Mus musculus: one gene and its partner. The protein of the gene in region 1 interacts with the protein of each later gene in a pairwise test. Links are inferred from orthologs where the notes say so. Each region holds a gene or a part of one and is shown on either strand. Other genes may lie near its edges.

Region 1 (4,171 bases):
AAGATGCATCTCTTTCATATGTGACCCTGTGACTTGGGGAAAAAAAAAGGGCAAGAAATCTGTCTTTAAGACAGATGACAAAATGAGGAAGGAGGACCAGTGACGTGGTTACAGTACTAGAGAGAGATGAGAGAGAGGGTCTTGCTATGTAGTCCAAGTTGCCTTTGAACTCAGTCTTCCTGCCTCTGTTCCTCCTAGTCGCCCATTAGAGGCATACACTACCACATAGGTTCCCATTAGATTCTAAATTCATATTTTCATATTATCCCACCACCCCTGTCAAAGGACTGCCATTGCTCTCTGTTTTTATTCATTTGAGATAAGGTTTCATTATGCAGCTGGCTGGTCCGGCACTCAAGAGATCTACTTGCCCCTGCTTCTCAAGTGCTGTGATTAAAGGTGGATGCCATCACGCCTGATTGCCTCTACCTCAGCCAGGAAGCTTTACAATTGTCTCCCTTGGGTTCCACTGTATTCAGTCAGCACAGACCAGGTTCCTGAATTGTCAGTCCTGGAGGCCCACGAGATTGGCATGGAGATGGCAAACCCCACCAGTGGATGGCTTTGCTTGGTTTCTATTATTTTGGTTGCCAATTATTCAGCTGGTCAGATGAGAGTGGGGGACTAACCAGGTAGGAGTCAATTTTTCAGATCAAGAAGGCCCTTTCTTGATGATTCTGAAGAGGTCTGTGGCTTACCTGGTTCATGTTGATATTTGATATCTCAACCTTGGTGTAGCCTAATTCTATTGCTATAGAAACAGGGAAACTAAGACCCAGGAGTGGAGAATAAACATGTCCAAAGTCAAGCAGCAGCTAAAAGTGGTGCTGGCAAGCACTCGGGCCTCCTGTTCTCCATATCCTCAGTGAGATGCTAGCTACACTCTGCCTCCACTTCCCAAGGCCAGGAGGCTTTGCACAAGTGAGTGATCTAACAGCTCAATGCTAGGACCCCATCTTTGAGTAAACCCGGGCGGGGGGGAGGGGAGATAACACACATACTGTCTTGAAAAGCAGATTCTTTTGAGTTCTGACAGAGCAGGTTAGCCCATGAGATGACAGGTGTTAACTCCCTCCCCTCACCAATAGCTCCCCCCTCACCTAGACCCTTGGCTTTCTTCTTCTCCTGTGGCCTCCGATGGTCTCGGTCTCCAACTTCATCACTCGCTCGGATCTCCTCTGTTCCAGGCTCTCCCTTAGAGGTCTCCTTCTCGCCGTTGACGACTGGAATGCCTGGTTCAGGCTCCCCATTCCTGGCTGCATAGGTTCGGGACTTCTCCGTGTCTTCCGGCTCAGTGGGCTCACCCTGTGCTCCCTCCTCAGCCGGGCCTCCCTGATTGTTGTCCACACAGTATGTACTCAGGATGTCTTCCAACTGCCGGCTCAGCTCCTCAGAGACGTCACAGAGGGCCCCAGGCTGAGCTGCTTTAGCTCGAGCCCCTACAGCAGGAAAGATGAAGACACGGGATTAAAGTTCAGTGGTCATACCACTCGCTTGGATCTTCTTTAAGCCCAGATAAACACACTGGTGTGGGTTAAATGTTGTTTTATTTATTTATTCGGTTGAGTTAGGCTCTCTCTACAGGGCCCTGGCTGTCTTGGAACTTAGTATGCAGGCTGATCACAAACTCCGAGATCTGTCTGCCTCTGCCTCCTGAGTTCTGTGGACAATGGTGAGGGACACTAGGCCTGGCCTCAATTTAAGTTTTTTTAAACCCTAAGTTTGTTTAGTTATAAAACAAGTATTTCTAACACCCAAACATACTTGTTATAAAAGCCAACTGTGTAAAGCACCCCTGTGTGAGGAGCAGTTGGCATGTGGCAGACGCTGCACCTCATGAAGGACAATTACCCACCACTGGCAAGTGTTCTCTGGGAATATGACTTTGCTTACGGGGTGCTTCATTTGACTGTCTTCGTTTAAACCAGTCAGAGCATGCTCCCAAGGTTGCGCCCCACGGCTAAGAGTGGGAAGGTTCACCACCTCCCCAGGAAACAAAAGGATCACACAGAATGAGCATCGTTCATTCTATAGTTCCTTCTTCTTGGGTAAACACTGGCCTCAGAAGACAGACCAGTACCAGAAACTCCTCCCTCTGCCCACTGGAAAAGCAGAGCTGGCACACACCCTCGGTCTTCCCAGGAGCCTGGCTTGTGGAACCTTCGGCTTCCGCCCCAGGAGCTGTCTGTCTGGGTCGTCCATGGGCTCCCTCCGGTCCTGCTTCCCGTTGCCCCGGGCTGCCCTTCGAGTTGGAGTGTTTGGCAGGCCCATTCTTTTTGTCTTGGTTCTTCATTGTGATCTGCAAGGCCAGAAATGGGGCAGATCCTTTAAGGACCCAGTTGCTTTTTTTTTTCTAGACTTCAAAATTCTTCTTCACAACTAGATAAGAAATCCCCAAATCTGACGCTCGAAGCTTCAAACAGACCGGTCGGTCTTCGCCCGGGATTTCACGGTCCCATGGAAGGTTTCCGAGAAGCTGCCCCTGAGTGAGTGAGGGAAGGAAGAGGCCTCCTTTCTCCCGAATGCCACTTCTCGGCACCACACGGCTCCCTCTCGGCAGCCGGAGCGCGGGATTGGCTCAGAGCCGCAGACTGACGTGGCGGGATGCTCCAGTCCCGATCGGCTCCCCGCCCCACCAGGTCCCACGTGGGACCCCCGCGCGCGCGCGCGCACAGAAGCCACCCACACCCCACGCGCCCTCTAGACCTAGAGTACGCACGCGCAACACTGGGGCAGGCCGCCCTCCCCCCGACCCCCCGAATTAGTTGTTCCTCTACGGCCAACGCGTCCTGGGCCACAGACCCTCTGAAGAGCTCGTCCCACGTACAGCCCATAGACATACTTCACCACGGACGTCCGGCGGCGTCCTCCTCTCCGGCCGAGCACCGGAAACCTAGGTAACTGCTGCCAACAGGACCGCCCTCTCCTGCCGCAGCCAATCAACAGCAAACGCGGGCGCGGAGCTTGCTGGGAAAAAAGAAGTCAAGGCGGCTTTGGAGGCGGGAGTGGGAAAAACTACGAGCCCCTTCATGCCTCGCGGCGCCGCACAACTCCCGAGATGCAACCGAAAAGCATAGGAGCCAAATACCCTGAGGGTCCGAAATTATGTCATTGGTCGAGAGATTTTTGTCAGCCTCTTTTCTGGTACTGAAGCTATGATTGGCCTTAAACTTTGGCATTCTGGTCTTTTTTTTTTCTTTTTTTTTCATACACTCATTAGTCCTTTATAAACATGTATGACTTTCTATGATCTCTGAGAACTCGGAAGAGGGATAGAAAGGTAAACTAATTTGTTATGTGCCTGGCATTTTTTTCCCCTCTATTACAATAGAAGGTTTATAATAATTCAAACGTTTTTTCCTCGTATCCAGTAGCTTGATTCTCATAATTACTCGGATTAAGTACAAAATACTCAGTGATCTGTGAAATATACGATAGTACAGAAAAGCCTAGTTAAAATAAAACAAACTACTATTTGTTTGTTAGAGACAACATCTCGTTATATGTGGCTTTGGCAGGCCTGGAACTCCCTATGTAGATTAAATTGGCTTTGAACTCAAGAGTTTTGTCTGTCTTTGCCTCCCCATGGCTTGGACTAATGGCAAAGGCCACCAGGTAAAGGGTAAATAGTTTAAGGCTCCATCAATATTGTGTGGTTATAGCAGATTCAAAGCTGGAAGCCTGACACCAGCACCCATCCTTTAAAAATATTTCTTTGCCCCCTGAGTCAGGGTTTCTTTGTGTAGCCTAGTGTGTCCTAGAACGTAATCTTTGACTATGCTGGCTTCTAACTCAGAGCTGCCTACCAAAACCGGTTGGAACCATTCTCCGACACCACAGCTGTTCTCTGAGGCAATTTATGCCCCGCCTTCTAACCCCACCAGCTTGGCAATTACTCCCTCAGAAAGGGATTGAAGCCAGGGAGTTTGGCTTTAGGCAGGTTGGTAAACTCCCACCCTACCACCCCTGCCCCACTTTCTGCAAAGTATCAAGTGTTACTGCTTTAAAATGTTAGATTTTTCTCGTCTTTGTTCTTCATTATGATTTGCAGTGCCAGTGTAGGCTCAGAACATTAAAAAAAACCCCACAATTGTGATTTCAATTCTTTTGTTGTGTGGAGTTTGTTTTGTTTGATAAGGTCTTGCTTTATAGAGCTGGCTGGCGTGTAACT
Region 2 (3,688 bases), about 21 Mb from region 1:
TACCAATACTTCATATTTTGACCAAAAGAACAGATCCTGGGAAGATAGATCCTGGGAAGAAGTGCAAAATGCAAAATCAAATGACCGAGAACTGCTGAGCAGACAGCATCATTAATATACAAAATATTTATATTACTGAACTAATAACAGGTGTGTTCTCCATGTCTGTAAAACTTTGGAACAACAGAGCTGATTGTTAAATCTAGTCCATGCCAGCTTCCAAAACCCAGAGGATTTTAGTTAGCTTCATTTTTCGATGCTTCATCAAAATTTTCTACAAGATCTGACAAAGAGAAAGGAAAAAATAAGTAAAATACAAATAAGTCAAAATAGTTGCAACTAGAATTAGTCAAAAAGCAGAAAAGATAAAAAAAAATAGCACATTTCAGTAATAATGACTTTTATAAAACAGCAATCTTAAGGAAATGGTTTTTTAAAATTTATGCAAAAATAACTAATAATATTTTGTCAGTTATAATGCCAACAATTTTTAAAAATTATTTTATTATTTTATTTGTATAGGTGTTGTGCCCAAATGTATGTCTGTGTGCCACGAGCATGCAGTTCTCAAGACCAAGAGAGGGTGTGGGATCCCCTGGAATTGATTTTACAGAAAGTTGTGGGCTTTCATATGAATGCTGGAAATTGAATCCAGGTCCTCAGGAAAAGAAGCCAGTGCTCTTAATTGCTGAGTCATTTCTCCAGCCCCTCAACAAAAATTTTCAGCAATAACAATGTATATTGATAATCATAGTGATTTCAATTTAATATATGCAGGCAACAGAGCTTTGTGGAATATTTTGTGATCCTAAGTTCTGAATGAGGAAGGGACTTCTGTATTCATATATATCCTATCATGAGGATCTCAGTTGGATTCCCTGTTCTTTGTGACCTCTAAAGAATTTAGATAAAACACAAAGAAACAGCATAAAAGACAGGCAACTACATTTGTAATAAAGTAGAGCATACACTCGAGGGGCAAGTGTGACCCAGACTGCATATGAGGCAGGCGGCAGTCTCCTATTTCTCAAGTCCCCAGAACAGTTTTTCTTGAGGGTCTTTGTTCTGTTCAGGTGAGTGGCAGGCCTGTTTGTGCTTCGAGACACAAATTGAAGGCAATAGTGTGTCTTTGTTCTTTCTCAGATAGCCTTCTGCTATCCAGTAATCTTTTATGAGGGTTAGCATTACTAGAACCAGGCTTAGATAGTATTATGTAATGGCAGAGATAGGACTTAAGGGACATTTTTCTGACCTGAAGTTCCAGTCCTTGGCTTTTTGGGCTGATTAGGGTCCGTCTCCAGGGTCTTCTAAGCCAGCTAATACCCAGCTAGAAACCTACCACTATCAATCTCACTCTAAATCAACTGACATTCAGTCAAATAAAAAAAAAAAATCTGAAAGTCATCTATGCAGTAAGTGAAAGAAAATAAATCACTTTTTCTTCATTTTAAAAATTACACTGTGTTATTTTATGTGTGTTGCATCTGTGTATGTATGTGTGCAGGTGTAGGTCAGAAGACAACTTGTGTTGCTGGTTCTCCCCTTCTACTATGTGGGTCCCTGGCCTGAGACAGACTTTACCTGGAACATCATCATCCTCTTCATCGATGTCTTCTGGTTTGGGCGCTTTACTATCCAATACTACAAAAAGTTCATTTGAGTATTAGTCACTGAGAACAAAGAGCTTCACAGAACACCTCCAATACTTATCTTCTCTTTGTCTAAATCTCATGTGGCTGTTGAATACAGACAACCTAAAATTTACTTCTATTTTTTTGCTTAAGTAACATTAAAAACAATAAAAGTTTAACGTGAATTAAATATATACAGAACAGCTGGTGATTCCAATGTGCAGAAAAGGTTAAAGTTACAAAATGTAGATTTTGACAGGCCTGAACAAAGGCATCCTCCTTTGTATCCTTTATTAATCTCCAACTAAAAAAAATATTTGAGACTTATTTACCACTTATTTTGATCTAAGTACCTAGCTATGCAGTATGACCATATAACTACTTAAATACAAGGCTCTTTTATGATCAGAGGCAACAAGACATGTATGAAATAAAAACTAATCTGAAAATTCAGAATTGATGATTATCATTATTTATGATTTTAGTAGCAATAGGTAATACTGTATCTGAATATTCTATGACACATTTCATTAATTAAAAAAGAAAACTACAAGTTTTATGAAACACACAAATGGCATTATAAAAAGTAAAAGAATTACCTACTGAGGAAAATCCTCTCAGTTTAAGTAAAACACCTTTTGTTGTTTGTTTCTGAAACAGTCTCTGGTACAGGCTAACTCCAATTTCCCTATACAGCTGAGGATAACCCTGAACTTGTGCTGGAAATACAAGTGTGTGCCATCATACCTAGCACTGCTGGGGACTGAACCAGAATGTCATGCATACAAGGTTAGGACTGTCAACTGAGCTAGGCCCTAGTTCCAGATGGGGTGCTTTTAACATTAGGTTTTTCTTAGTGACAGCAGGGAAGAAGGGGAAAATACTAAATTGAAATACATACCTTGCCGTGGGAACTGTTCAGCTAACTTTCTAAGGCTCGTTAAGCTGTCAGCACCAAGCTGACTTAATATCCCAGGAAGCATTTCTGTGATTGGTTTGGCTTCTGCATGACCAGTAATTGCAAAGGTGTTAGCGGAGAGGGAAGCTTGGACTTTGGGATTGTTGAAATGAATAACCGTGCCATCGTCTTTAATCATATTCACCTGAATGGGCACAGAAAACAATGTATTTCACATGCTAGACTCAACTACAAATATCTTTTTAAAAAGCAGTATTATCTTACATAGTAGCAATCCTACATAGTCCTAATTATCTCAGCAGTAAATACGGCAGAGAAAGAGTCTCATAATGGATTACAATGGTGCTGGCTAGTACACATTGTTGGAGTGGTTATGAAATAGCCACTCAGGCCTCAGTTCATGGCCACTTTTTTTTTTCTTAAGTAGAACTACATTCATGAACCAATTTCTTAATTAGTTACACAAACAAAATCAGTGCAATTACCTCTTACTTAGAAGACAGAATGGAAGGCGGGAAAAGTATGAAGTAAAAATAACCACTGAGAAACCCACATAGATGACACAGAAATCTAATCAGCCAAGCATTTTACTTTTTTGAATGCTCAGTAAATTTACCAAAATTTCAACCTAGTTTACTGTTATTCTTGTTTGTTTTTGTCTAAGATACTCTCACAATGAATCTTTGCCTGGCTTAGAACTCTGCTTGCCTCTGAGTGCTGGGAATAAAGGTATTTTTGCTTTGTTTTGTTTTAAATGTGTACATATGCACCACATATGTACAGGAACCCCGGGAAGTTTAATAGCCAGCCAGCCAGCCTGCCTGCCTTTCTTCCTTCTTTCCCATTTTTCTTTTTTGTTGTTTGTTTTTCTGAGACAGGGTTTCTCTGTGTAGCCCTGGCTGTCCTGAAACTTACGATGTAGACCAGGCTGGCCTTGAACTCAGAAATCCACCTGCCTCTGCCTCCCGAGTGCTGGGATTAAAGGCGAGCACCACCACCGCTTGGCTTCAGGCTGGTCTTTATTATTGTTTCTCCTGCCTCAGGTTTCTAAGTATCTGGGACTATAGATTTGTACCAACAGGCCTAACAGTTTTCTCCAATTCTTAAATATTTCTTCTCAGCCACATTCATTAATTTC

What was found. The genes of interacting proteins can lie anywhere in the genome.
Region 2: the proteins of Txlna (region 1) and Btf3l4 interact in binary tests that used the Homo sapiens proteins (3 or more experiments, as listed by UniProt). The two-hybrid records come from large-scale screens. The link is inferred for Mus musculus from reciprocal best matches to the Homo sapiens genes TXLNA and BTF3L4.

What each region holds. Positions count from the first base shown.
Region 1 is NC_000070.6:129,638,129-129,642,299, forward strand, and holds the start of Txlna (alpha-taxilin), read right to left. Parts: upstream 2,938-4,171; 5' UTR 2,843-2,937; exon of another isoform or gene 2,803-2,842; intron 2,678-2,802; exon of another isoform or gene 2,300-2,677; 5' UTR 2,294-2,299; coding exon 2,128-2,293; intron 1,440-2,127; coding exon 1,101-1,439; intron 1-1,100. UniProt on the Homo sapiens protein: May be involved in intracellular vesicle traffic and potentially in calcium-dependent exocytosis in neuroendocrine cells.
Region 2 is NC_000070.6:108,816,604-108,820,291, forward strand, and holds part of Btf3l4 (transcription factor BTF3 homolog 4), read right to left. Parts: intron 2,735-3,688; coding exon 2,533-2,734; intron 1,642-2,532; coding exon 1,582-1,641; intron 284-1,581; coding exon 237-283; 3' UTR 1-236.